Linked DNA regions of Macaca mulatta. The protein of the gene in region 1 purifies or fractionates together with the protein of each later gene. This does not show direct contact. Links are inferred from orthologs where the notes say so. Each region holds a gene or a part of one and is shown in the gene's direction. Other genes may lie near its edges. The genes, in order: SMAD2, SP1, EP300, TRIM33, CTNNB1, SMARCA4 and USP15.

Region 1 (4,683 bases):
GAAGAAAGAGTATACTTCAAAAACTCTTATTGTTTGGAGTGCTCATTTGGTACTTTCTGATTACTGATTTGTATTGCTAGTGCTTCTTTCCCGCTTATCTGAAGTCCCCAATTATATCTATAAAGTAAGCCATACATGAGAATGAATTACTGGACAGGCACCCCCAAAAAAACCGTGTTCTAGTCTTGTCTCTGGCACCTGTGTGAGACCTAAGTTTCTTTTCAACTTTAGTTCTACGGTACTCCCTGCCTGTGTCACAGTGGGTGCATAGTAAACACCTGATGTGATTAGTTGGGCTCAATATTTTGTCAGCAGAGACCTGGGTGCTCCTAAGGGTAAAAGCAACAAGGTTTTCCCTGGGTGCGGTTATGCCCTGGTCTGTGGTAAGTTTAGGGCCTTGCTGCCTCCTGTAGGGCAGATGCCCAAGCTGGGGCCTAAACGCCGCAACGGGAGAAAAGAGGAAGGGAAGATATCCCAGCCATTAGAGGACATTATGACATGCCTTTCTTTTAGACTTCACAGACCCTTCGGGACGTGGATTATTGATATCATTTTTACTGAAGACGGAACCAAGATTTAGGTTAAACACTTAGATCTGGCATCCCCTACCCGGGCCCTAAGTGCTCTCCAAAGACTCCACCTCTGGGCTTATTTACATCGCGAACCTACCCTCGTTCAGCAGCACGAGGGCCCCGCCCATTCATTTGCATAGGGCGCGCCCAGTCGCGGGACGGGTCCTCGGGCTTCTCCCAAACCCCCTTTCTCTCCTAGGCGCGTCCTCCGGGCTGCCCGGGGCCTCCCAGTGGGATGAGCACGTGTCCGCTGCCGGCCTCACGACGGACTGTGGACGAAGCGGCAGGCCCCCACAGGCCCTACCCCACGACGCTGGCGAGGGATCGGGCGGTCGCCGGGAATCGTCTTCCCGCGCGGCAGGGCGCAGGCCTTTCCCCCGCCGCCCCCGAACTCCGGTGGGAGCGCGCAGGAGTCCAACTCAAGCGAAACCGCGGGCGTCCAGCCCCGCCCGGCCGCGCCCCGCCTCGCCTCGCCTCACGCTAGACTGGGGAGGCGGGACCAATCAGCGAGCGACGTCTCCCTTCCGATTCGAGGCCCCCGATGCGCGGCTCACACCCCGAGCTCCCCGCGTGCTGATTGGCTGCGGGCGCCGCCGGTCCGGCCGGGAGGCGGGGCGGGCCGTAGGCAAAGGGAGGTGGGGAGGCGGTGGCCGGCGACTCCCCGCGCCCTGCTCGCCCCCCGGCCCTGCCCGCGGCCCTCGGCCTCGTTCCTTTCCTCCTCCGCTCCCTCCGTCTTCCGTGCCCGCCCCGCGCGGCTTTCGGCCGGCGTGCCTCGCGCCCTAACGGGCGGCTGGAGGCGCCAATCAGCGGGCGGCAGGGTGCCAGCCCCGGGGCTGCGCTGGCGAATCGGCGGGGCCCGCGGCCCAGGGTGGCAGGCGGGTCTACCCGCGCGGCCGCGGCGGCGGAGGAGCAGCTCGCCAGCCAGCAGCCCGCCAGCCGCCGGGAGGTGGGTGCGTGGCGCCGCGGCGGCCGGCGGCCGAGGGCGGAGGGCGGAAGCGGAGGTGGGCTGGCGGTGGAGGGCGCGGCCGTGCGGGCGGCCGGTAGGGCTGCGGACGCGCGCCTGAGGGGAGGAGGGGCAGCGCGGGCGCGCGCGTCCTCACCCCCTCCTTCCCCGCGGGCGGCGGCCAGGCTCCGTCCCCTCCCCTCCCCTCCCCTCCCTCCCCTCCCTCTACCCTCCCTCTACCCTCTACCCTCCCGCGCGCCGGGGCAAGCGGCCGGGCCCGGGCCTGGGGGCGGGGCGGGAAGACGGCGGCCGGGAGTGTTTTCAGTTCCGCCTCCAATCGCCCATTCCCCTGTTCCCCTCCCAGCCCCCTCCATCCCATCGGAAGAGGAAGGAACAAAAGGTCCCGGACCCCCTGGATCTGACGGGGCGGGACCTGGCGCCACCGTGCAGGTAAAGCCTGAGCGCCCGCGGGCCTCCGGCTAGGGGTGTGTTTGCGTGCGTCCGCGGCCCGGGCGATGGGCTGTGTCACATGGCCGCGGCGGGTGGGGGCTGGGGTGTGGTGAGTTCGGGGGCTGTGGGTGCGCCGGCCCGGGCGTGCGGGTTCGGGGCCAGAGAGCCGGGGAGGTACGGTGCTCGGCGGCCCGGCGCTGCCGCCCAGCCTGGCGGGGGTGGGGGCTGCCTGCGTCCCTTCCCCTCGCGGCTCTAACACTCCATAGTTTGTGGTTCTGATTTTTAAAGCCGAAGGGCCAGAGCTCTTGTTTCAGGAGTTGTGGGGAAGCCTTGTTAGGGGCGCGTAATACTTTGCCTCCACTTTTTTTTTTTTTGGTCCGGTAACCTTTGTTAACCATAGTAGTCTCGGGTTTTCCATGGCTTGTGTGTACTCACAAACACGCACACAGCTGATAACTGTGATCATCCTTCACTCACTTGTGAAAGTTCTGCGGGTGGAGCCTATTAGTTTTTATCACCCGCTTTTGGAAAAGCCCTCGAAGTGATTTCTTTTATTTCAAACTTGGTTTTCAAAATTGCAACTTACTTTGTTCTCTTGGAGGGGGATACTGTCCTTGGGTCAGGCCCTTTTTTGTCTTTTATTTATCCTTACGATTTCCTTTTGATCCTAAACAGAAAATACCTGGGTTGGTTTTGTTATTCCTTCCTCATAACACTTTAAAAGCAAAATACCACCAGTGTATTGTCAACCATATCTTTTAAAAAGAAATCTCCAGGGAAAACGAGTTTGCAAGCAGCATTTTCTATCAAAGTCATGTCTTGTTTGTTACAATTTGGACTATCTTAAATTTGGGTGTGTGAAACTTTTAAAATGTCATGTGTAAAATAATTGTTAATAAGTAAATAACTTGGAATAGTTACATCTTTTTAGAAATATCTTTGCGATGTGAATTTCCAAAATTCTTTTTCTCTCTTCTGACTTCATATGAATTGAACCTGATAGTTTCGTATGAATGAATCGCTGATAGGATGTTTTCCTTTAGCCTAATAATAAATTTGCTCTTATGCTGAAAATTTGCTATTCTACTTTAACCCCCGTTAAAAAAGTTTCTATCTTACAGAGAAGTTAAATTGTTAAATGGAGTTTCAACAGTTTTAATACATGAATTAGTGAAGCAGAGATGGAAGAAATAATTTAAAATGAGCTTCATAAATATACCATAGTTTGAGGGTTTTTAAAAAGTTTGCCTTCGGAAAACCCATACAAGATATTTAAAGAATTTCCTCTGCCAGAAGGTCATTTAGCAGACGTTTATATTAAATTCAAAAGTAATACTTTTATTTTTAAAGTTCCTTACCCTTTGCCGTAAACTGAGCTTTGGTAGTAAATATAAATAGTTCACATCTTTTGGCATTTGTAAAGAGTGTACCCACTTTTACTATAAATACTAAATTCTATTGGATTTAATTGAGTTCAAGGCAGTTCACTGGCCAGGTTTAATGTAACGTGATTGGAAACGTTGATTTTGGGGGTTTTAGTAAGAAAATGCTCTTAGAGCTTGGTTTTTATACTTAGCCACACCTTCTTAAGTGCGGCCACAAGCATTGTAGGTGTTCAACAAAAGTTTGGTTTTTCAAGGTTGTAACCTACGTTTACTTAGTCATAAGTGGTCATGTCTCTACACAGTCTGTACGCTTCGTGAAATAATAGTCTTTTAAGAAACTGTGCAGGGTAATTTCTTGTTGTTTGTGACTTACCAGGCTTGGTATGTGTTTTAACTCTGGTGTAGGAATATTGGGGATGGTTTTGTGTATTTCAACAAAACTTCTCTTTGATAGAAACAAAGGTTGTTTCTATTCTACTTCAAGATGGCCAGAGGTGGTTGTCACCTTTTCATTTTCACATTGTAAATATTAGAATCATGTTGCTATAATCTGGTTACTTCACCTTTGGGGGAATATATGTGAATGGAAAAGCTCAGTTTAGCTGTGTAAACTGTTGGGCAAAGACCTATTGAATTTTTACATTTTGCAAATACTGTCAGTTTTAAAAGACTTTCCTTATTCTTTTTTGGTTTTGATTCTGTTGGTTTTGTGCTTTAGGGCTCCAAAAACCTCCTTTTGTAGCAGCTTTAAATACAGGTGTTTTTGTAATGCATATAAAAGCTGTATTTAGTGCAGCCTGGCAGATGGAGATTTATTCATATTCTTGGGACAAAGAGTCATTTTTAGAGGGTGGAGGGGGACATGTCTTTTAGATTCCTAGCCTTTTGATGGGTGTAGAAGAGTCATTTTTAGGCCCATAGTTTCTGTAAGAGGTAAGATGTTTTCCACTAAGTATTCCAAAGGTATGTCAGAAAATGTGAAACGTAAAGAATTTAAAACCAGTTTAGGAGAGGTTGTGCATTTATTTTCAACAAATAACTTGTATTGAGCAAGTAGCAATAAACAGCTTTCTCTGTGTGTCAGGCTCTGGACTAGGCAATAAAGTATCTTACCAGCAAACAAGTACACCCCTGTTCCTTAATGGAGTTAGAAAAGTGGAAACTCATGTCCTTTGCCCAATTCTCCAGTGTTCAGAGTAAGACAGTTGTTAGTGTACAAATCAGGGGCACATGCATTACTGAGCCATTCCTAAAGTATGCTTGCCTTGCTTCCTATCACATGTAACGGATAGCACTAGGGAAGATGTGAAGTGTTAACTCAGTGTCACTGGGA
Region 2 (4,704 bases), on another chromosome or scaffold:
CGGGGTTTCACCGTGTTAGCCAGGATGGTCTCGAACTCCTGACCTCGTGATCCGCCCGTCTCGGCCTCCCAAAGTGCTGGGATTACAGGCTTGAGCCACCACGCCCGGCCAAGGCCTCAGTTCTTAACTCCAAAGGGCTTAAAATAGTATAGGAGAATTCAGATTTTAAAACATAAGAACATACAAGCAAGCGACAACATTTAAGATACAAATACTGAAGGACATGACCTTATCGTGTCATTGACAAGCTATCAAGGCCGGCTCCACCAAAACACGGATAAAGAGGAGGCCAGAAATCCAGGTGCCTGCAGTAAAGTTTAACCTTCGTGATTGCAAAAAGCAGGAGCTCAACTATCTTGCTTTATGCATAGGCGGTATTTACTATTAACTCGGAAAAATGGAAGTGACTTATCCGCACTTTAGCCTCAAAGCTTGAAAAGTTAACCAGTCGTAAGTGGTTAGCGCCTTTGTCTGGCGGAACTTAACAAAATGGCGTTTTCTGGAATCTTACGGAGACTCTGCATATTGGTCAGCTCAGTATTAACTTATTTGGTGAGCGCTGTCCCCAAATCCCGTTCCGGCTGCACTCGCAGGGCTTGCAGCGACATTGAGGTATCTGCCCGCCTGTCCGCCCACCCGGGAAACGGGTAAGATTTGAGAGGTACTTTATAGGGGCAGTTAAATGAAGACTCAAACAAATCCTAGTGTTGATGCGGAACTGCGCGCCGAATGCCTTGGCTCTGACACCTGTTGAGCTGCAAGACTTCACTAAAGCGTCCCACCTAATGACTGTAACAACGTCCCCTGAGGTGGGCCAATATGGCGACGGTCTCCTCTTGGCACAGCCCTCTTCCCTCCCTCATGATGGGCGGCTCCGGTAACGCCCATTGGCCAACTAGGAGGCGGTGCCAGGCTTACTTCGTTCCCTCATTGGATTGAATAACTTAGGGAGCCGCCAATTCTCCTCTGCCACTCCAAGTTTCCGCCCTCAGAGTTAATCTGGCGTTTAATTGGCTTTTAATTCACGTCAATATGCGTCCTTTCCTGTCTTTTTTCAGTCTTAATCCAATCATAACTTTCCTGGCTGCCCGCCTGATTTCTGATTGGTTTTAATCAGCTTCAGCCTATCCTATTCCTGTCTACTTCTTACCTCTCCTCCCACTAGGATTTTGCCCAAGCATATCCCGGATTCTAGTTGGCCGTTGTTCTGTCATTCCTATCAAACCTTTCCCTATCCCAATGTCTCAGGGAGCCCGCCTGCCGGTTGACTGGTTTCCTTCCAAGCCAATAATCCCCAGCTCCCGCCCATCTTCACTTCCTGCATCTTTCATTGGCTTTTAACACTGAGAGGGCTGTCTTTTTGGGCGGACACCAGGCACGCAACTTAGTCTTACACGCCTTAGAGAGCAAGCGAGTCTTGCCATTGGAAAACCTCACCGTCTTTCTTCTGCAAGTCCCACCTTTCCCCCTCCCTCATTGGGCGGGGCAGCAGAGAAGGGGCGGGGCATAGGTTGGGCTGGTGGCGCGCTGCTCCCTCCTCCTCACCCCCCCCTCCCTGTCCGGTCCGGGTTCGCTTGCCTCGTCAGCGTCCGCGTTTTTCCCGGCCCCCCCCAACCCCCCCGGACAGGACCCCCTTGAGCTTGTCCCTCAGCTGCCACCATGAGCGGTAAGGATGAGTCCACTCCAAGCTTAGGGGTGGGAGGCGAGTGAGGGGGCGCGCGCGAGGGCCGACCGGGCGATCCCCGCCGTGAGGGGGGGCGGGCGGGAGGCGGCGGCGGCGGCCTAGGTCCCGCCCGGGGCGGAGGGAAGGGAGGGAGACGGGGCAGTGGCTGGGCCTCCGAGGAGGAGGGGGATGGGCCGCCCGCCCCGGGGGAGGGGGCAGCGTGGCCTCGCCCGCCCCCTGCCCGCCCCGGCCACGGGGGACGGGCCTTACCCCCCACTACTCGGCCGCCCGCCTGAGGCTCCTCCCGCCGGGGGCTGGAGCCGCGGGGGCGGCCCGAGCAGTGAAGGCCCCGCCCGGGCCAACCGCTTGTCTGGTCCGTCCTCTGGTCGCCGCCTGCTCCGGCGCCCTCCTCCCCCCACTTTCCGTAGATTTCCCTTCCCCCCGCCCCACCGTCCCGCCCTTTCCACGCCCCTCACCCCGAAACCGCCCTTTCCCTCAGGGCCCGCCCTCCGCCCCGAAACCTCCTGACTACTAACCAGTACACCCCTTTAGTTCCTTAGTAGTATTCACAAATGTTTTCCTACTAAAACTTTTTATTTCTTTTTCCCTTCTCCTCTTGTTACTTTTAATACTTGGGTTTTTGTTTATCTCTCTCTTTTTTTTTTGAGAGGGAGTTTCGCTCTTGTCGCCCAGGCTGGAGTGCAATGGTGCGATCTCGGCTCACTGCTACCTCCCGGATTCAAGCGATTCTCCTGCCTCAGCCTCCGGGAGTAGCTGGGATTACAGGCATGCGCCACCACACACGGCTAATTTTGTATTTTTAGTGGGGACGGGGTTTCTCCTTGTTGGTCAGGCTGGTCTCAAACTCCTGACCCCAGGTGATCCTCCTGCCTCAGCGTCTCAAAGTACTGGGATTACAGGCATGACCACCGCGCCTGGCCTCTCCATCTCTTTTAACCTTAATTTTAGCAATCTTTCCATCCACCCACATATTGTTTTTTGCCTTACTTGTCCTTTTTTCCCTTAGGATACTTTTTCTTATTTTGAAACTCTTTCAGCATGACTACCATCCTTCACATTTCCTATCCCCAAAGCACTTTTTGAATGTTTTCTTAGTTAATTTTGTGTAAGGGAGAATTGAGGCCCACTTTTGGCACCATTGAGCCTAGTTCATGTCCTGCATGCCCTGCAGCTCCCCTCTGCCCTCCAATCCATTTTCTTTATACTGGCGCCTTTCGCCTTCCTGTTAGTCATTGCTATTTCATCATAGCCTCCTTTTATCCTTCCTACCTCATCTCTTTTCTTCCCTCAAGTTTAAGTTGTTTGTTTTTTAATTGTTTTAGACCAAGATCACTCCATGGATGAAATGACAGCTGTGGTGAAGATTGAAAAAGGAGTTGGTGGCAATAATGGGGGCAGTGGTAATGGTGGTGGTGCCTTTTCACAGGCTCGAAGTAGCAGCACAGGCAGTAGCAGCAGCAGTGGAGGAGGAGGAGGGCAGGTAAGTGATAATAATAGAGTGGGGAAGATGTTGAGAGGATGTAAATATTCTTAGATAATTGCCTTACTCTTCATAGAAAGCTTTTTAGGGAGCTTATCAAAACCATTTTATAGATAAGAAGTAAGAGTATGGAGATCCCCAAAGACAGGAGTTTCAGCAATACAGATAGGTCAGCTTTTTGTTTCTGTTTTTTGCTCCTTGTCTGCACTACGTTGCTGTTTATTTGTTGTATACTGCCCCCTAGGCTGGCAGCTGGGTGTCACTAACTCCTTTCCTCTCCCTTATTTTTGGCCAGGAGTCCCAGCCATCCCCTTTGGCTCTGCTGGCAGCAACTTGCAGCAGAATTGAGTCACCCAATGAGAACAGCAACAACTCCCAGGGCCCGAGTCAGTCAGGGGGAACAGGTGAGCTTGACCTCACAGCCACACAACTTTCACAGGGTGCCAATGGCTGGCAGATCATCTCTTCCTCCTCTGGGGCTACCCCTACCTCAAAGGAACAGAGTGGCAGCAGTACCAATGGCAGCAATGGCAGTGAGTCTTCCAAGAATCGCACAGTCTCTGGTGGGCAGTATGTTGTGGCTGCCACTCCCAACTTACAGAACCAGCAAGTTCTGACAGGACTACCTGGAGTGATGCCTAATATTCAGTATCAAGTAATCCCACAGTTCCAGACCGTTGATGGGCAACAGCTGCAGTTTGCTGCCACTGGGGCCCAAGTGCAGCAGGATGGTTCTGGTCAAATACAGATCATACCAGGTGCAAACCAACAGATTATCACAAATCGAGGAAGTGGAGGCAACATCATTGCTGCTATGCCAAATCTACTCCAGCAGGCTGTCCCCCTCCAAGGCCTGGCTAATAATGTACTCTCAGGACAGACTCAGTATGTGACCAATGTACCAGTGGCCCTGAATGGGAACATCACCTTGCTACCTGTCAACAGCGTTTCTGCAGCTACCTTGACTCCCAGCTCTCAGGCAGTCACCATCAGCAGCTCTGGGTCCCAGGAGAGCGGCTCACAGCCTGTCACCTCAGGGACTACCATCAGTTCTGCCAGCTTGGTGTCATCACAAGCCAGTTCCAGCTCCTTTTTTACCAATGCCAATAGCTACTCAACTACTACTACCACCAGCAACATGGGAATTATGAACTTTACTACCAGTGGATCATCAGGGACCAACTCTCAAGGCCAGACACCCCAGAGGGTCAGTGGGCTACAGGGGTCTGATGCTCTGAACATCCAGCAAAACCAGACATCTGGAGGCTCACTGCAAGCAGGTCAGCAAAAAGAAGGAGAGCAAAACCAGCAGACACAGCAGCAACAAATTCTTATCCAGCCTCAGCTAGTTCAAGGGGGACAGGCCCTCCAGGCCCTCCAAGCAGCACCATTGTCAGGGCAGACCTTTACAACTCAAGCTATCTCCCAAGAAACCCTCCAGAACCTCCAGCTTCAGGCTGTTCCAAACTCTGGTCCCATCATCATCCGGACACCAACAGTGGGGCCCAACGGACAGGTCAGTTGGCAGACTCTACAGCTG
Region 3 (2,898 bases), on another chromosome or scaffold:
TCTCCCCTACAGCAGCAACAGGTGCTTAGTATCCTTCACGCCAACCCCCAGCTGTTGGCTGCATTCATCAAGCAGCGGGCTGCCAAGTATGCCAACTCTAATCCACAACCCATCCCTGGGCAGCCTGGCATGCCCCAGGGGCAGCCAGGGCTGCAGCCACCTACCATGCCAGGTCAGCAGGGGGTCCACTCCAATCCAGCCATGCAGAACATGAATCCAATGCAGGCGGGCGTCCAGAGGGCTGGCCTGCCCCAGCAGCAACCCCAGCAGCAACTCCAGCCGCCCATGGGAGGGATGAGCCCCCAGTCTCAGCAGATGAACATGAACCACAACACCATGCCTTCACAATTCCGAGACATCTTGAGACGACAACAGATGATGCAACAGCAGCAGCAACAGGGAGCAGGGCCAGGAATAGGCCCAGGAATGGCTAACCATAACCAGTTCCAGCAACCCCAAGGAGTTGGCTACCCACCACAGCAGCAGCAGCGGATGCAACATCACATGCAACAGATGCAACAAGGAAATATGGGACAGATGGGCCAGCTCCCCCAGGCCTTGGGAGCAGAGGCAGGTGCCAGTCTACAGGCCTATCAGCAGCGACTCCTTCAGCAACAGATGGGATCTCCTGCTCAGCCCAACCCCATGAGCCCCCAGCAGCATATGCTCCCAAATCAGGCCCAGTCTCCACACCTACAAGGCCAGCAGATCCCTAATTCTCTCTCCAATCAAGTGCGCTCTCCGCAGCCTGTCCCTTCTCCACGGCCACAGTCCCAGCCCCCCCACTCCAGCCCTTCTCCAAGGATGCAGCCTCAGCCTTCTCCACACCACGTTTCCCCACAGACAAGTTCCCCGCATCCTGGACTGGTAGCTGCCCAGGCCAACCCCATGGAACAAGGGCATTTTGCCAGCCCGGACCAGAATTCAATGCTTTCTCAGCTTGCTAGCAATCCAGGCATGGCAAACCTCCATGGTGCAAGCGCCACAGACCTGGGACTCAGCACCGATAACTCAGACTTGAATTCAAACCTCTCACAGAGTACACTAGACATACACTAGAGACACCTTGTAGTATTTTGGGAGCAAAAATTATTTTCTCTTAAGACTTTTTGTACTGAAAACAATTTTTTTGAATCTTTCATAGCCTAAAAGACAATTTTCCTTGGAACATATAAGAACTGTGCAGTAGCCGTTTGTGGTTTAAAGCAAACATGCAAGATGAACCTGAGGGATGATAGAATACAAAGAATATATTTTTGTTATGGCTGGTTACCACCAGCCTTTTTTTTCCCCTTGTGTGTGTGGTTCAAGTGTGCACTGGGAGGAGGCTGAGGCCTGTGAAGCCAAACAATATGCTCCTGCCTTGCACCTCCAATAGGTTTTATTATTTTTTTTAAATTAATGAAAATATGTAATATTAATAGTTATTATTTACTGGTGCAGATGGTTGACATTTTTCCCTATTTTCCTCACTTTATGGAAGAGTTAAAACATTTCTAAAACCAGAGGACAAAAGGGGTTAATGTTACTTTAAAATTACATTCTATATATATATATAAATATATATAAATATATATTAAAATACCAATTTTTTTTCTCTGGGTGCAAAGATGTTCATTCTTTTAAAAAACGTTTAAAAAAAAAAAAAAAACTCCCTTTCTTCCCCTCAAGTCAACTTTTGTGCTCCAGAAAATTTTCTATTCTGTAAGTCTGAGCGTAAAACTTCAAGTATTAAAATAATTTGTACATGTAGAGAGAAAAATGACTTTTTCAAAAATATACAGGGGCAGCTGCCAAATTGATGTATTATATATTGTGGTTTCTGTTTCTTGAAAGAATTTTTTTCGTTATTTTTACATCTAACAAAGGAAAAAAATTAAAAAGAGGGTAAGAAACGATTCCGGTGGGATGATTTTAACATGCAAAATGTCCCTGGGGGTTTCTTTGCTTGCTTTCTTCTTCCTTACCCTACCCCCACTCACACACACACACACACACACACACACACACACTTTCTATAAAACTTGAAAATAGAGAGCAAAAACCCTCAACTGTTGTAAATCATGCAATTAAAGTTGATTACTTATAAATATGAACTTTGGATCACTGTATAGACTGTTAAATTTGATTTCTTATTACCTATTGTTAAATAAACTGTGTGAGACAGACACCCTGACTTTGTTTCACTTGATAACACATCTTTGTCTTGGTGTGCACCAGTTTAAGTGCCCGGTGCTTAGGATTCAGAGGAAAAAGTGAAAGCATTAGCTTATAGCCTCTTTACTACATACAGTTTTTCACAAGTAGATCTTGGTTAATTTGTCCAAAGTTCTGGGAAAAAGTACTGCAGGTACCAGCTAACAGTCAAGGTGGAAGTGATACCTACTTAACACCTTGATACAGGATCGCTTAAGGATGACCACATGGTCTTCTAATCACCATCTTACAGGGATGAGGAGGAGGACCTAAGACAACGGATCATACCTGCCTAAGTCCCAAGTAACTTCTTGAAAAAAACAAGACTTGCCAGGCACGGTGGCTCATGCCTATAATCCCAACACCTTGGGAGGCCAAGGCGGGCAGATCATGAGGACAGGAGTTCCAAGACCAGCCTTGCCAATATGGTGAAACCCCCATCTCTACTAAAAATGTAAAAATCAGCAGGGCATGGTGGCAGGCACCTGTAGCTACTTGGGAGGCTGAGGCAGGAGAATTTCTAGACTTCTGGAGGTGGAGGTTGCAGTGAGCCAAGGTCGCACCACTACAGCCTGAGCGACAGAGCAAGACTCCATCCTTTAAAAACAAAAAAAGAAGAAGCTAGGGGAACACTCCTGTTTAATAACTGCATACTAAGAAGTTAGTTGGAGGCCAGGCGCGGTGGCTCAAGCCTGTAATCCC
Region 4 (4,049 bases), on another chromosome or scaffold:
GCATCTGTAATCCCAGCTACTCAGGAGGCTGAGTCATGAAAATCGCTTGAACCCGGGAGGCAGAGGTTGGAGTGAGCCAGGATCATGCCACTGTACTCCAGCCTGGAGGACAGAGTGAAACTGTGTCTCAAAAAAAAAAAATACAAAAATTAGTCGGTCATGATGGCGCATGCCTGTAATCCCAGCTACTAGGGAGGCTGAGGTACAAGAATCGCTTTAACCCGAGAGGCAGAGGTTGCAGTGAACCAAGATTGTGCCACTGCACTCCAGCCTGGGCGAGGGGGAGATTCTGTCTCTGAAAAAAAAGAAGGTATATATACATGTGCTTGTGCCTGTAGGTATGTGTGTGTGTGTTCTAGGTTTTGACCATGAAAAAACAACTGATTTACTTTTGGCATTTTAATACATGCCAAAACGGTACAAGATACCTGAGAAACTCTGTAACCCGTGCTCTTCTTATTCATAAATACTGAGTCTACATAATGGTGATACTGGGACCTGGGAGAGTTGGTCTTAGGCCTTATGCTGCAAGTACTGCTCATCACTACTTAGAGACCCCCTTTTAATGCAGAGATGCCATTTTTATAATGCATTCCAGAAAGTAATCAATTGATGCGTGACTAGGAAAGTTTAGAGGAGTTTTTAATCACATGACTTCACCTGATGAGATTTCACAACTATAAAACCTCCCTTTTTCCAAAAAATTATTAAGAAAATAAACCAGGGCCCTGTCTAGGGAAGTAGCTTCTCTAGAGCAGGCTTTTTTTATAATTACGTGGACTAATTACCTATTTCCCTGTCTAGTGGGGACTGGATATGCACATTTTGTAGAGATATTGGAAAGCCAGAAGTTGAATACGATTGTGATAATTTGCAACATAGTAAGAAGGGGAAAACTGCACAGGGGTTAAGCCCCGTGGACCAAAGGGTAAGTGTCAAATAAGTTGGTTTATCACTGGGATTCAGTAGTGGTCTGCCTATATATACATCTTTTTTTTTTTTTTTTTTTCCTGTGTAGCATACACAAAACCTGGTAACATTTAATTTTTAATCCTGTCATCTGATGGTATATTGATGATCTCTGAAGTCTTTTTTTCTCTAACCCTGAACTACAGACCCTTCTATCCGGATTCCTCAAACTTAAGATGTCCCAACTAAAATCTTAATTTCTAATCCTCTCCTTCCAAACACAAAACCAAGCAAATAACAACATAAAAAAGTGTATTCCTCCCCCAGTATTCCCCTTAATTGAATGATACCACCATTCATTTCTGTTGCTCAGGTTAGAAACCTATTAGAAATGAAATAATAACAACTATAATACCATTTTCTCACCTTTTCCCACCATTACCATTCTAGACAGACATCGTAATTTCTCATCTGGACTATTGTAATTATCTCTTAACTGCTCTCCTCGCTTCTGCTCTTGATCTTTATAGTCTGTTTTCTGTATTAAACAGCGTTCTTTTAAAAAGTAAACAAGTCTATCATTTCCTTGCTTAAAATTCTCTGATAGCTTCTCATCATATTAAAAATGGAAACTCTTTCCTTACTTTACTCAGAATTTTACCAATCTGGCCTGTAGTCTGATTTCCAAAGACAGAATCTTTTGCATTGTCATGCGGTCATTAGAGTTAAGTTTGGCTCTACTCTGGTGTATATAGTTGCAAAAACCCTCATCCACTATCTGTGAAGACAAGATACGTGTTTAGGGTATACAAACTTGTATGACTTGTATTAAAAGAAGTTTAGATAAATAGAAGACTGTGAATGTAAAATGCATCTCAGTTTACTCATGATTGGGTAAAAACACGTTTCTGGAGTTAGATTGAGAAGGCCATTTTTATTTTGAACCTGACTGGAGTCATTTGAAGAAAGGGGATAATAACTTTCAACATTTATCTTGCCTGTCTAAGGAATTACCATGAGGAGCAACAGTGATGATTTATTTACTTATTTATTACCAAGTAATTTATAAATTTTTGCACAAAGTGTTAGATGTTGCTTTTGTGACTCCCTTCCATAAATTACCTTAGTTATCTTCCATTCTTATTTAAAGTAGAACCAAAGATAGTCTGAAAACAAAATGAGAAGCACAGGAGTTTTCTTTGGGTGTTCATATTTACTTGAGTATCTAATAAACAGGGGGCTTGTGTTCAGTTTGTTGTAATCAGACTTTGTTGTGATATAGTTCTCATTCTCGAGAATGTTTTATTAGGAGAAAAATGTTTCATGTGCTTTCCTTTCCTTGTTTGGGCCAGAAATGTGAACGTCTTCTGCTTTACCTCTATTGCCATGAATTAAGTATTGAATTCCAGGAGCCTGTTCCTGCTTCGGTGAGTTGCCTACCTTAGTAGCTCAGTGGGGGAAGTCTCATAATACTTAAGGGTATGGGCTCTGGCGGTTGGGCGCGGTGGCTCACGCCTGTAATCCCAGCACTTTGGGAGGCTGAGGCGGGTGGATCACGAGGTCATGAAATCGAGACCACGGTGAAACCCCGTCTCTACTAAAAATACAAAAAAATTAGCCGGGCACGGTGGCGGGCGCCTGTAGTCCCAGCTGCTTCGAAGACTGAGGCAGGAGAATGGCGTGAACCCCGGAGGCGGAGCTTGCAGTGAGTCAGATCACACCACTGCACTCCAGCCTGGGTGACAGAGGGAGACTGTCTCAAAAAAAAAAAAAGAAAAAAGTATATAGGCTCTGGCCTTACACTAAGCTTGTATTACACCTCAGCTTTCTGGAATAAGCTCCTCAACCTCTCTAAGACTCAAGTTTTCTGACACCATTTCTTACCTCATTGGGTTGTTCTGAGGGTTATATAAGATAACCTATGTAAAGTGTTTAGCATAGTCTATAGTCATTGACTTTTGTAAGGGATAAAGGCTCTAAAATGCTACAATAAATGGAAGATTAGAGGTGTTTGGTGCCTAATAAGTGGGATAAGAATATTCTACACACATTTTATTACTAGCCATCAGTTGTTGAATAGTACATTATTACATACCAGGCCTGTTAGAGAGTATTAAATGGTAGTTGACTTGTTTACTGAGTAGCCTGAGAAATGAATTTTAAATCACAAAAGGCGTAGACGGAAGATGTTTTGTACAAGCAGTAATCATCTGTTTCTGGAAAATTGTCTCATCTTCAAGTGCAGGGATTTTAAAGTAGAAAATGACTTTCAAATGTTTTCTTTTTATGGGCCATTAAAATAGCTTCTTGGCCAGGCATGGTGGCTCATGCCTGTAATCCCATCATTTTGGGAGGCCTGGCCGGCAGATCACTTGAGGTCAGGAGTTCAAGACCAGCCTGGCCAACATGGTGAAACCCCCTCTCTACTAAAAATACAAACATTAGGCGGGTGTGGTAGCGCACGCCTGTAATCCCAACTGCTAGGGAGGCTGAGGCAGGATAATTGCCCGAACCTAGGGGATTGGAGGTTGCAGTGAGCCAGCATGGCGCCACCGCACTCCAGCCTGGGCGACAGAGCAAGACGCCATCTCAGAAATCAATTAATCAATCAATAAAATAGCTTCTCTAACTTTACTTTTATCCCAAGGGTAGAAATTTTTAGCCAGGGTTGGGGCCAGAATTCCCTAGCATGAACACTAAATGATTAATAAAGTTAGTAAATTTTTCTTACGTGCTAACAGTCTTGCTTCCTCTGTTACTAAGTCAAGATTTCGTGATGTAAATGATATTATCTGTGATGTCTTCCAAAAGACATCATATTCTAATTGTAACATTAATATATTTTATAAATTTTCTTTTTAAAAAAAAAAAGAAAAACTCTTGAGGAGTCATAAAATTCTGATAAGTCAAATGTTGCCTCAAGGCTACTGGTTGGTTACCCTTGCTAATTGCTTTCTTTCCAAATCTTACTATTAAAAGTAGGACTTTGGGGGCTTGGACTAACCATGAAGATTGGCACATATTCTGCGTAAGATTTGGTTTTCATGAAGATGTAAAGTACATATGTCTGTATCAAAATTTGCAAGCAGCTGGCTCTATAATAACTTTTTTTCCCCTAAAATTAATATGCTATGCATTTT
Region 5 (4,046 bases), on another chromosome or scaffold:
CCACTCTGTAGTGATCACTGATGGTACACAGTCATAACAGTGGATTATATTTGTTGAGCGAATGGAAAGAGAGATTATTAGGTTTAAAACGATGCAGCTCTTGAGGCCAGGAGTTCAAGATCAGCCTGGGCAACATAGTGAAACCCCATCTCTACAAAAAAAATTTAAAAATTAGCTGGGCATGGGGATGGATGCCTATAGTCCTAGCTACTGGGGAGGCTGGGACAGGAGGATTGCTTGAACCCAGGAGTTAACAGACTGCACTCAGCAACAGAGCCAGACTCCAACTCAAAAAAAAAATAAATAAATAAAGGAGAGCAAATTACCAGTGAGTGGTGTGTTACTTGGGTTTTTAATAGGCATCTTATTAACATGTTCCAACTTGAGCCCTTAACTTTCTCCACCTACCCCCTTCCACAAACCTGTTTTGACTGTCTTCTCTGTCTTGATGTCAGCTTTGTCTGTCCAGCTGCTCAGGCTAAAACTTTTCTTTCATACAACACATCCTGTCAGCAGCTCCTGTTTGGGGGTAGGCATTTTGCCTGTTTTTTTTTTTTTTAACTGCTATATCTCTAGCACGTAGAACAGTGCCTGGCAGCACATAGTTGGTGCTTAATATGTATTTGTTGAAAGATCAAGTCAGTGAGTATTTTTAATGTGAGGTGCAAAGAGAAAAAAATGTATCTTTGAGGGGTGGAGTTTTGAAGAACTTCCATTTTCTAAGTATTTGTGTAATGTTGGAGTTACTTGTTTCCTTTGTAATCTGAAAGTATGCTTTAAAAAAATTAGTGTACTTTTAAGTTGAGAATTTTCATTTTGCTTTTTATTCTTTCTTGCCTTGTGCCTGTTTATCTAGACTGCGGATCTTGGACTTGATATTGGTGCCCAGGGAGAACCCCTTGGATATCGCCAGGATGGTATGCGTCTCATATTTCTCGATTAACTCCAGATCAAGCTAAAGTTCTAAAACTTGATCAGAAGAGCTGGTTTGCTCATCTGGGAAACTAGTGTTGGCAGAAAAGTAATGGCTTCAATTAAAAGCAGTTCTTAAATTCCAGTCAGCAACAGTATCTTTAACGGAGCACAGGGAATTCAGAGCCACACAATGAATAGCAATAGGATTACACCACCAACAAATACATGCTACTACTAGGCCTCTGCAGTGTAGGATGTTACAGTTTACCTGGCTTTTTATTCTCTTTTTGGCCAGAGGACTCATAATACCTTTTGTCTACAAGCTACCCAAGGAAGACAGGAAAACTCCTGTCTCTAGGCTCAGATCTGGGGTGGGTTTTTACATAGTTGCATTATCAGGGTTTTCTTGAAAAGCGAATTCACATCTGGGTAATGAACATAGAGGATGGGGTAGACCAGTAACAGTTACAACTGTCTTACATTTATAACCTCATCTGCTTCTACCTAATTATGAAACCACTAAAGCGCAGATTCTTACTGTGACAAATAACATGTCAACCCTAAGATAAAATATGTTGAGGTTTCATTGAAATAGTGCCTTAACTTTCCTTAGTACTTTTGTTGGTGTCACTTGGACTTTTTGTCAAGATAGATTACACCTGCCAGACCTCATTATTGTCTTAATCCTCCTTCCCATGAGTTCTCATTGCCTAGGTGGTCACACAGTAGATTCCTGCTTCTCCTTCTTGGGAACCCCAAGTCTGACAGGGGTAAATGCAGTGTGTTCAGGGTTAGACTAATGATGTGACTAGGCCCTGCTGGTGTGCCTCTCTGATGGAAACAGACGTTATTTGTGTAGTCTCATGGGTGGTCTGGCACTGAGTAATTACTTGGCTAAAAAAAGCTAGAAGTTGAAGAGGCTAGAAAGCATTGTTTTCTGACAAGTTTGCTGCTGAACTTTGGATGCCCTAACCTCAGTGTTAATGTCTATGTCTGTTTCTCTCCTCTCTCTTTTGCCTTCCTTCTTGCCTATTTTGTTCATACCCTGACTCTTCTAGATCCTAGCTATCGTTCTTTTCACTCTGGTGGATATGGCCAGGATGCCTTGGGTATGGACCCCATGATGGAACATGAGATGGGTGGCCACCACCCTGGTGCTGACTATCCAGTTGATGGGCTGCCAGATCTGGGACATGCCCAGGACCTCATGGATGGGCTGCCTCCAGGTGATAGCAATCAGCTGGCCTGGTTTGATACTGACCTGTAAATCATCCTTTAGGTAAGAAGTTTTAAAAAGCCAGTTTGGGTAAAATACTTTTACTCTGCCTACAGAATTTCAGAAAGACTTGGTTGGTAGGGTGGGAGTGATTTAGGCTATTTGTAAATCTGCCACAAAAACAGGTATATACTTTGAAAGGAGATGTCTTGGAACATCGGAATGTTCTCAGATTTCTGGTTGTTATGTGATCATGTGTGGAAGTTATTAACTTTAATGTTTTTTGCCACAGCTTTTGCAACTTAATACTCAAATGAGTAACATTTGCTGTTTTAAACATTAATAGCAGCCTTTCTCTCTTTATACAGCTGTATTGTCTGAACTTGCATTGTGATTGGCCTGTAGAGTTGCTGAGAGGGCTCGAGGGGTGGGCTGGTATCTCAGAAAGTGCCTGACACACTAACCAAGCTGAGTTTCCTATGGGAACAATTGAAGTAAACTTTTTGTTCTGGTCCTTTTTGGTCGAGGAGTAACAATACAAATGGATTTTGGGAGTGACTCAAGAAGTGAAGAATGCACAAGAATGGATCACAAGATGGAATTTATCAAACCCTAGCCTTGCTTGTTAAATTTTTTTTTTTTTTAATATCTGTAATGGTACTGACTTTGCTTGCTTTGAAGTAGCTCTTTAATTTTTTTTTTTTTTTTTTTTTTGCAGTAACTGTTAGTTTAAGTCTCTCGTAGTGTTAAGTTATAGTGAATACTGCTACAGCAATTTCTAATTTTTAAGAATTGAGTAATGGTGTAGAACACTAATTCATAATCACTCTAATAATTGTAATCTGAATAAAGTGTAACATTGTGTAGCCTTTTTGTATAAAATAGACAAATAGAAAATGGTCCAATTAGTTTCCTTTTTAATATGCTTAAAATAAGCAGGTGGATCTATTTCATGTTTTTGATCAAAAACTTTATTTGGGATATGTATGGGTAGGGTAAATCAGTAAGAGGTGTTATTTGGAACCTTGTTTTGGACAGTTTACCAGTTGCCTTTTATCCCAAAGTTGTTGTAACCTGCTGTGATACAATGCTTCAAGAGAAAATGCGGTTATAAAAAATGGTTCAGAATTAAACTTTTAATTCATTCGATTGTGTCACTCTTTTTTTTTCTTGTCATTAAATGGTGAGGGTGGTAAGTTTATCCAACTCAACTTTATACTGAGGAAGATACATAGTGAAGTAATTTGTTATAGCGATAGAGAGGCCCTTCTCTAGATGCAATTTGCCAAGTTTCTTCAGCATTTGGCCCTGGGTTACATTGCACCCCCAAAAACGTGTTTCAGCCTTGCACATTGTGATTAGTTCTGGGCTTTTGTGGGAGAAAGCCAAGCAGACTGTCTATCATCTATCTCTCTCTACCCCAATCTCCCCGATGGTTTGATTCCATTAAGGTAATGAAATATTAACTACCTGGATTTGGATTTGAATCACCTTCACACAAGTGTGACTCATTGGGAGAGGGGAATTCCTTCAACTCTACTTTGAACTAATAATTAAATAGGTTTAAGTGATGATGTTTATCTGAACATAATCAGAACCAGAATGAGCCTTCCACACTATCTATCTGCCAGATGATCCTATCAGTCATCCTGGTGGTAGGTCTTACAAGCTTAGTTCATCTCTTCAGGTAGACCTGTTAAGACTTGTTTTGGTCTTCTTATAAAAAGTGAAAGTGTTTTGTCTTTAGGGAGAGCTGTTTCTGATTTACTGTTTTTATTTTGATTGATTGATAGTGACTATTATGAGAAAAACATACATTCAGTTCTTTTTCATGAAAAATCAGCTTCATCTGGGGAGGCCTTTTTGTGAATGCCCTTGCTTTGCAAAAATAAATTCTTCATTGTGGTCTAAAATG
Region 6 (4,049 bases), on another chromosome or scaffold:
CGTGCAGCGGCAGATCAGGCTGGGCAGAATTGCCAGGCTGAGAGTGGTACTCACAACACACCTGTCCAGCTAGTATCGGAGGCCGCCTTCCCTTTTATGACCTCCTGGGCTCCTTTGGGATTGACTGGCACCTCCTCCCCCAGGACCTGCAAGCGCAGGACCGAGCCCACCGCATTGGGCAGCAGAACGAGGTGCGCGTGCTCCGCCTCTGCACAGTCAACAGCGTGGAGGAGAAGATCCTAGCCGCGGCCAAGTACAAGCTCAACGTGGACCAGAAGGTGATCCAGGCTGGCATGTTCGACCAGAAGTCCTCCAGCCACGAGCGGCGTGCCTTCTTGCAGGCCATCTTGGAGCATGAGGAGCAGGATGAGGTGAGCCCAGCGCCGGCCCCGACCCCTCCCCAGCGTGAATGGTGGACGCATGAGCGGCTTTCATTTTTGTTTTTTTACCTTTTTTGCACTCTTATTTTTTTTTGCATCCCTTTGGAGTAAAGGGAGTGTGGGCTGAACGGAAAGAGGATGAGTACTTGCTTTTTCTTTGAAGTGGTTTTTTTTTCCTAAACTGCTGGTAAAAGACGCCGGATTGACAGCCCTGGAGACTGAAGTCCTCTATTTATCCACAGAGCAGACACTGCAGCACGGGCAGCGGCAGTGCCAGCTTCGCCCACACTGCCCCTCCGCCAGCGGGCGTCAACCCCGACTTGGAGGAGCCACCTCTAAAGGTGAGAGGGGTAGTTCAGTCTCCATGCCCATTCAATCCTCGGCTTCTCGGCTGAGACGGCCAGCAAGGGCCCTGGTCCCACGGAGCGTGCGTGTGCGTGTGCGTGTGTGTGCCTTTCGCTGCCGTGTGGGTCCCCATCCACCGCAGCCGTGCCGGGACCACCAGCTCATTCCCACGGACGCCGCCGCTCACCTCTGAGCTTGGCAGCCGCCCACCCCGGCCCCTCCGCAGCGGCGCTGACAGTTTGCAATCTTGTAGGAGGAAGACGAGGTGCCTGACGACGAGACCGTCAACCAGATGATCGCCCGGCACGAGGAGGAGTTTGATCTGTTTATGGTAAGCACTGCGGGCTGGACAGGATGGTTCAGGCATCCCACCGTGCCGCCACCAGGAGCAAAGCAGAGGTCCTAGTGCCCATGGTGGTGTCCCCAGCAGGTCAGGGAACTGGGGACAGCTCACAGTGCAGCCCACTCATGCCTCCAGCCTGACCCTTCTTCCACCCCCAGTCTCCTGAGCATGGCGTCGGAGGGCAAGATGCACACCCAGCCATTCTGTGTGTGACCCTAGACCTGCCCCACCGGCTCTGTTTTCTAACGGGCTCTTCAGGGCTTCATGCACTCCCTTTCAGAGGGAGTTCGCCGTATCCAAGGCCAAGGGACTGACCAGACCTTCAGTTGCAGAGCCCCCTCGCCCCTGGGTGGGAAACAGGAAGTAAGGCAGCCAAGCAGGGGCCTCTTGGCCCGCAGGCCGTATGCCTCCACCGGCGCTGTGCCGCGCAGCTGCCGCCCTTCTGCTGGGGTCTGCAGCCCTCTTGTGCAACCTTCTATCTTTTCAAGTTTCCTCTACCTCCCGAGGCAGAGCCCCTAGTCAGGGTCGGACGTAGCCAGGCCGGGTCAGCCACCGAACAATGAAGAGCTGCTGTTTAACTCTTGCAGCAGCATGGGTCCCCACGGGCAGAGAAAGGCCCTTCTGAGCCCGGCGCTCTGGCTCTAGTGTGCCCCTGGTGCCCGCATGCTGATGCCTCTCCCTTTGCCTCCCTACCCACCAGCGCATGGACCTGGACCGCAGGCGCGAGGAGGCCCGCAACCCCAAGCGGAAGCCGCGCCTCATGGAGGAGGACGAGCTCCCTTCGTGGATCATCAAGGATGATGCGGAGGTGGAGCGCCTGACCTGTGAGGAGGAGGAGGAGAAGATGTTTGGCCGCGGCTCCCGCCACCGCAAGGAGGTGGACTACAGCGACTCACTGACAGAGAAGCAGTGGCTCAAGGTACATGCCGGAGAGGCCCGGCAGGCCCCGCAGGCCAGTGCCAGGCAGGGCTGGGGAGACAGAGGGCCCACCGCCAGGACTCAGGCCTGGGTCCAAAACGCTCCCCTTGGGCCACTCCTGGCCAGGCTCCGCGGACAGCCGAGAGCCTTCTGTTTTGGGCCAGGGATGGTTAGGTCCTTCTGGCTCCTCCTCAGAATGCAAGGAGGACCCATAGTTCCTGAGTAGCTCAAAACCTGCTGCTGGGTATGGTTGGTCTTTCAAGTACAAGGGTTTACCTCCTCCCGAGGTTAAAAATCATGTCGCTGATCTCAGTGGAGTGCTGGCTTTCCCAGTACCTGCCAGGAGGGAGGCACAAGGGTGAATCATGGACTATTGAGGCACCCTGCAAAGCGGTGCATTGCCGGCTCCAGGAAGCCTCACTTTGGGCAAGTCCCCCCCATGTGCTGGGGAGACTCAATCACAGGAAGGGAGGAGCGGGTAAGCCCCCAAGGGCCTCTGAACCTGGCAGGCGCTGCACAGGGCTGGCAGCTGCTTGTGGAGCTGACGTGAGGGCCATTTCTCAGCAGATGACACCTGGCCCTGCAACAGCAGCTACAGATGTCTGAGTCAGTCATGTGGTGCTCCTGGGACCGCCCCCGACCCACCCTTCCCAGCCTAAGGCACACTGTGACAGGTGCCTGGCACTGACGTCCTCACTGGGGTTACGGTGACAAATCAAACCCCTTCCCATCTCAGGGGCTCTGAGTTACGGAGATGATGATTCAGACTCCATCCATGAAGTTGTGTCATTAAAATGTCCTGAAGTAACAATTCCGAGAAGGCAGGTGGCGGCTTTTGGCTATGCTGTACAAAGTGCCATACCCAGGAATGAGCCATGTGGCCCAGCGCATGTAGCCAAGCAGCCCCAGGCTCCTCCTGGGACCTCAGCAGCCCAGACTCATGAGCTTGCCTGCCAAGCTGTGCACCAGAGGGCGCTGTTGAAACACACCAGGAGCCCAGGTCACAGGCCATCCTGTTCCCCAGCCAGCCTCCCGAGCAGAGCGCTCCGGGACCCAGAAGAGAAACCCTGAAAAGCCGGAGTGTGAGCCCTGCCGCAGACCTGTGTGACCGCAGAGCTGTCTGACTGCTGTATGAGTGTCACCGGCCCTGCATTTTTTTCTTTTTCAATAGAGACAAAGTCTTGCTATGTTGCCCAGGCTGGCCTCCAGTTCTTGGGGGGCTCAAGTGATCCTCACACCTCGGCCTCCTGAGTAGCTGGGACGACAGGTACACACCACCACGCCTGGCTAGTTTTAAATTTTTTGTAAAGTCAGGGTCTCACTGTGTCACCCAGGCTGGTCTCAAACTCCTGGGCTCAAGCAATCCACCCGCCTCGGCCTCCAGAGTAGCTGGGATTACAGGCATAAGCCACCACGACCGCCTCAGCCTTACATATTTGAGGCAGTGAGTGCCTTTTAAATTTAAGATCAGTTCATATGCGGATGCTCTATGTACACATTTTTCTAGGTGTAATTTACATACCATACAATTCACCCTTTTAGGGTATATGACACAGTCATCTTCAGTGTATCCAAGAGTTGTGCATCTATCACCACAGTCCATTTTAGGACATTCTCGTCACTCCCAAAGAAGCCTTGCCCCGATTTGCCATTTCCTGTTAATTCATTGATTCTCCCCAGCCCCAGGCAACCACTGATGTACTTTCTGTCCGTATAGTTTTGCCTGTTCTGGGCGTTTCCTGTCAGTGGAGTCCTACAGTGTAGGATGCTTTGGTGTCAGGCTTTTTTTCATACAACTTAACGTATTTACGCGTGATGCAGCAGGTGGTCGTGCTTCATTCTTTGATGGTGAAATGATCCTACCTCGTACAGATTCGTCACGTTCTCTATTAAACCTTTTGAGGGACCCCTAGCCTGGTTTCCTTGGTGACTATGCCAGTTCACAGCCCCACCAGCTGTGTACGAGGGTTCCTCTCTCAGCATCCTCAGCAACCCTTGCTGTTCCCTCGTCCGCTGATTCTAGCCATCCCAGCAGGTATGAAGTGCCATCTGAGTGTGGTTTG
Region 7 (4,049 bases), on another chromosome or scaffold:
AAAAATCAAGAGGATAAATGCATTAGTAAGTACAGGCAAAGATATTTTTAGTAAGCATACATTTATTGTGAACATGCTCAGTGACAGGTGACATAGTGCTCAGTGCTGGCAATATAAATAAGAATACCCTGGTACCTCCTTTCATGGAGGTCTCAGTTCATTTGGCAAAACAAACTAAAAATTAAAGTTACAGTATATTATCAGATAAGTGCTATAATAAAAGTAAGTAGTAAGCATTAAGGAAACATACAGGAGAAAACACTATAAGGAAATCTAAGGGAGGCTTCCCAGATAGGATACTAGAATCTTGATGGATTTATAGAAGTTAGTAAGGCCAAAAAAAAAGTACATTTCCAAGTAGATGGAGTAATGTTGCAAACTTTCAGAGTGAGAGAACATGTGGAGGAATGACTAATTAAATAAAGCTGGAAGAGTTGAAAAGAAAAGAGTATTGACAAAGGATGAGGCTACATAGATGAGCAGAAGACAGACCCTTCTAAGAATCTGGGCTTCCAGTCTGTAAGCGGGGAGAGCCATAAAAGGATTTACAGCAAGGAAGCAACATGATGAGATGTACATTTTAGGGAGATCACTCTGGATACTATTGGAAAGCTAAAAAATGTTCAGTTATACCTGTAAGCTCTTTCCAGGATAAGAGTATGTGTGAATAATTCAGTAATAACAAAGTTTAAGAATTACTCAGGTTTGCGCAACTTGGTTCTTTTGAGATATTTGTAAATTAGGTTCTTTATATAATTGCATTAACAGACAATAATGGAATGTTATATTCTTAGCATAACCCTGAGCTGATCAAATATAAGAAGTGGAAAACTATTGGTAATTGTTGGAAATTCCTGTCTGACCTCTCTTTTGTCTGACTATTTAATGTTGATCATATTTTGTACTAAATCAGATGATACTAAGTGATGGCATTTACCATTCTAAATTGCCTGGACCTCCCTCTAGTGCTGGGTTTATAATTAAAAGGACATATACTACAAAAGAAGAAAAGAAACTGAAACTCAAAAGGAGTATAAGATTATGAGATAGGTTGAGATCTAAGAGGTAGAAAGTTAGGGAAGCATCCTTTCTCTTAATTGCCTCCTACACTGTAGCATACCTTTGTTTCTCTTGCTCACATATATTAAAAAGTTCTACTGCTGAAAATATGTATATGACTCTAAAGGCCTATATAGCTCACTCCAAACGTTTTAGCTGTTTTTATTATTTTAATTGCCTAAGAATAATATAATCGTAAATTCCATGATATAACCAGTTCTCCCTTTTGCCGTGAGGTAGGGGCCAGGCTAGCAATTTATAATAAACATTATTATTTTTATTATATAGAAAGTTTCTAAATAGATATTATTGGCTACTTCAGTAAACATGTTGATTTATAATTGAAACCACGAAATTGAGTACCACAATTATTTTTAAAAACTAAGTAGACAGTGACTGCATATTTTGAAATTTTAGCTAAACAATGCATAGTATATAGTCGTAGTTTATGGCATATAAGTTATCTGTATGAATTCAACAGACTGAACTTTTCATACCTACCAAACCTATCTAACTTAATACAGATGACTATAAGCAAGCTTCAAAAAACTTTGATTTCCATTAATGTGAACCCAGGCTCTCATAAAAGTGAGTTTCTACTATTTTCCATGCAAGCAGCTAGCTTCCTTGCAGCACCTTGCCACTTAATTCCAACACAAATATCTTCCTACAGCAAAAAAAAATTTACTTATGTGACCATATGTCTGTGTTAGTCATTGCATATTATAGACATCTAGTTGATAATACTGGGTTTGTATTGAGGTCAAATCATATGGATCGTCACCTTAAAATTATTCCAACTTGAGATAAAATGTGGAAAAATTGTACTTCTGCCATCTGTTTTATATTAAATATGAAATTATTTAATTCAGAATTGGAAAGAGACAATTAACTTGTTTATAGTTTTTATTTTGCCATAAAGGAAAATTGCATTGTTTATGACATTAAAGAAGAGCTGGAAGTGAGAACACACTTACCAGAGTTCACATACTGAAGTTTATTTTCTCAGGCTCAAGTAATCTGTACTGTCTCTTCTAAAAATGGTTGACCAAAAGGAAGGTTTAAAGGCTGCTCTTTCATGAGAAATAATTGACAATGGAAGCAGTAAATACCTCTATTAAGTTAATTTCTTGCTTGCACTCTATCTCAGTTTTTACCTACTCAGGCTAATTTGCAGGTGCCTGGGATGAGTAGACAATCCATAATTTCTACCAATCAAGTAAAAGAAGGAAAGAAAACTGAGCTTCTCTCCCAGTTACCAGGTAGTTTGCTGTGGTTAAAATTAATGCAGACTTTACAGCAGCAGATACTAGCATTTTTATTTATTATAAGTAATTATTTTGAAATTTGGGAAATGAATAGTTGAGTACATCATTTGAGTGTTTATTTGACCAGTTATTAGTGCAAGGAACCATCATTTAAATGTTCTCTATGTATTATAGCAAATCAATTTGTTTCTCTCTTCTTTTTAATGTGTTTTAAGAAAAATGAAGTATGGTTACTTTTACTTGAAAATATGTTTTATTTTTTGCAGTGTTTGAGCAACACACCTCCACTTACTGAGTATTTCCTCAATGATAAGTATCAAGAAGAACTGAATTTTGACAATCCCTTAGGAATGAGAGGTGAAATAGCTAAATCTTATGCCGAACTGATCAAGCAAATGTGGTCTGGAAAGTTTAGCTACGTCACCCCAAGAGCCTTTAAGGTAAGTGTGATAAATGCATTTTAGCAAGGGCACCTACAAGGGTACAAAGGTTGGTTCTTGGGGTAGGGGGAGTGAAAAATAGTAGCTATTACAATGGTTTGTGGCCCTCCAAAGGAATACAGTACATAAATAGATATACAATATATCTGTGGTATAAAATTTAGGTGGGAGGGATATGGAAGAGTTTTATCCGTTTTGTTTTTGTTTTTGTTTTACGTCTAAATCTGGGATGGGGAGAATAATGAAAAAAAGTTGAAAAACACTGGTGTGGTACAAGAATGATTATGGAGACAGCAATGAGCGTTTGTATAGTTGTTTTGGAATATAGTACATCTCTGGAAAACCTACGTGAATATTCTATACAAATGTGAAAGACTAAATTTGGGCGTTACTGAACTCTTAAGAACCCATTTTACTTTGAGAGTCATGAATTTGAAAAATTATCAAAATGAAAATTGTCTGCAAACCAAGCACTAAAAATTAAGTGTACTTTCAATATGGTTCTTAAACTTTTAAGGTTATTCACATGTGTGAATTGTTACTTATCAAGGTATTTATTGTTCAAATAAGAACTGAGCTGAAATTAAGCTTTATGGCTGAAATTTAGCTTTATGTTGTTAAAAAAATTCCTACTTAACTATATAGGTGAAACTTTGAGAAATTTTAAACTTGTAAAGAGAATAAGCAATTTTAAGTTGTTATTTATACAAGTAATTTAAATGGCATTGATATAGGACATCTACTAGACAACATTTTTTATTAGCTATATACTAGTTCTTAGAAAATAAAAAACAACCAGCAAATCAAAATACCTCTGTATTTGTCTTCCTTAACATTCTAAACTTTGGACATACTAGTCCAGACAAACCATCTCTCAGCTCTTTCCCATCTTTCTAATTGGTTTTGTTTTGGTAGATTTTCTGTCTTGAAATTATGTGTAAATAGGTTCTTGACTTATGTGAGTTTTTTCTGTCACATGATGATTCGTACTATTAGATTTATTTTCAGTCTCATCCAAAAAAAAATAGTGATGCAAAGATTTGGAAAATTGAATATGAACATTAATGTTTCTGTTCTCTCTATAAGACTCATCCTCCTTTTGCACATAAAAACTAAGTGAGAGCCTAGAGTAGTTATCTTAAAAATGCTTTCAGATACGTGATTATCTTTATGTGGTAATACAGCAAGGATGAGAACCTGCCTCTTACTATCTACCTACCAGACATTTACAGGAGGAGGCAATAGGAATACCTAAAGCTAAGAATTAAGAACATCTGGAAAA

What was found.
Region 2: the proteins of SMAD2 (region 1) and SP1 purify together in Homo sapiens (affinity purification with western blotting; 3 studies listed by BioGRID). This does not show direct contact. The link is inferred for Macaca mulatta from reciprocal best matches to the Homo sapiens genes SMAD2 and SP1.
Region 3: the proteins of SMAD2 (region 1) and EP300 purify together in Homo sapiens (affinity purification with western blotting; 4 studies listed by BioGRID). This does not show direct contact. The link is inferred for Macaca mulatta from reciprocal best matches to the Homo sapiens genes SMAD2 and EP300.
Region 4: the proteins of SMAD2 (region 1) and TRIM33 purify together in Homo sapiens (affinity purification with western blotting; 7 studies listed by BioGRID and IntAct, with this or other methods). This does not show direct contact. The link is inferred for Macaca mulatta from reciprocal best matches to the Homo sapiens genes SMAD2 and TRIM33.
Region 5: the proteins of SMAD2 (region 1) and CTNNB1 purify together in Homo sapiens (affinity purification with western blotting; 5 studies listed by BioGRID, with this or other methods). This does not show direct contact. The link is inferred for Macaca mulatta from reciprocal best matches to the Homo sapiens genes SMAD2 and CTNNB1.
Region 6: the proteins of SMAD2 (region 1) and SMARCA4 purify together in Homo sapiens (affinity purification with mass spectrometry; 3 studies listed by BioGRID, with this or other methods). This does not show direct contact. The link is inferred for Macaca mulatta from reciprocal best matches to the Homo sapiens genes SMAD2 and SMARCA4.
Region 7: the proteins of SMAD2 (region 1) and USP15 purify together in Homo sapiens (affinity purification with western blotting; 4 studies listed by BioGRID). This does not show direct contact. The link is inferred for Macaca mulatta from reciprocal best matches to the Homo sapiens genes SMAD2 and USP15.

What each region holds. Positions count from the first base shown.
Region 1 is NC_133423.1:44,427,476-44,432,158, forward strand, and holds the start of SMAD2 (mothers against decapentaplegic homolog 2), read left to right. Parts: upstream 1-1,786; 5' UTR 1,787-1,965; intron 1,966-4,683. UniProt on the Homo sapiens protein: Receptor-regulated SMAD (R-SMAD) that is an intracellular signal transducer and transcriptional modulator activated by TGF-beta (transforming growth factor) and activin type 1 receptor kinases.
Region 2 is NC_133416.1:60,525,667-60,530,370, forward strand, and holds the start of SP1 (transcription factor Sp1), read left to right. Parts: upstream 1-1,620; 5' UTR 1,621-1,659; coding exon 1,660-1,666; intron 1,667-2,170; exon of another isoform or gene 2,171-2,367; coding exon of another isoform or gene 2,368-2,449; intron 2,450-3,006; coding exon 3,007-3,164; intron 3,165-3,459; coding exon 3,460-4,704. UniProt on the Homo sapiens protein: Transcription factor that can activate or repress transcription in response to physiological and pathological stimuli.
Region 3 is NC_133415.1:10,336,815-10,339,712, reverse strand, and holds the end of EP300 (histone acetyltransferase p300), read left to right. Parts: coding exon 1-1,059; 3' UTR 1,060-2,170; downstream 2,171-2,898. UniProt on the Homo sapiens protein: Functions as a histone acetyltransferase and regulates transcription via chromatin remodeling. Acetylates all four core histones in nucleosomes. Histone acetylation gives an epigenetic tag for transcriptional activation.
Region 4 is NC_133406.1:125,857,212-125,861,260, forward strand, and holds part of TRIM33 (E3 ubiquitin-protein ligase TRIM33), read left to right. Parts: intron 1-804; coding exon 805-928; intron 929-2,261; coding exon 2,262-2,336; intron 2,337-4,049. UniProt on the Homo sapiens protein: Acts as an E3 ubiquitin-protein ligase. Promotes SMAD4 ubiquitination, nuclear exclusion and degradation via the ubiquitin proteasome pathway. According to PubMed:16751102, does not promote a decrease in the level of endogenous SMAD4.
Region 5 is NC_133407.1:104,579,356-104,583,401, forward strand, and holds the end of CTNNB1 (catenin beta-1), read left to right. Parts: intron 1-856; coding exon 857-917; intron 918-1,973; coding exon 1,974-2,182; 3' UTR 2,183-2,194; exon of another isoform or gene 2,195-2,499; 3' UTR 2,500-3,278; downstream 3,279-4,046. UniProt on the Homo sapiens protein: Key downstream component of the canonical Wnt signaling pathway.
Region 6 is NC_133424.1:11,772,602-11,776,650, forward strand, and holds part of SMARCA4 (SWI/SNF-related matrix-associated actin-dependent regulator of chromatin subfamily A member 4), read left to right. Parts: intron 1-143; coding exon 144-371; intron 372-622; coding exon 623-721; intron 722-978; coding exon 979-1,056; intron 1,057-1,768; coding exon 1,769-1,987; intron 1,988-4,049. UniProt on the Homo sapiens protein: ATPase involved in transcriptional activation and repression of select genes by chromatin remodeling (alteration of DNA-nucleosome topology).
Region 7 is NC_133416.1:69,672,002-69,676,050, forward strand, and holds part of USP15 (ubiquitin carboxyl-terminal hydrolase 15), read left to right. Parts: intron 1-2,236; exon of another isoform or gene 2,237-2,321; intron 2,322-2,593; coding exon 2,594-2,767; intron 2,768-4,049. UniProt on the Homo sapiens protein: Hydrolase that removes conjugated ubiquitin from target proteins and regulates various pathways such as the TGF-beta receptor signaling, NF-kappa-B and RNF41/NRDP1-PRKN pathways.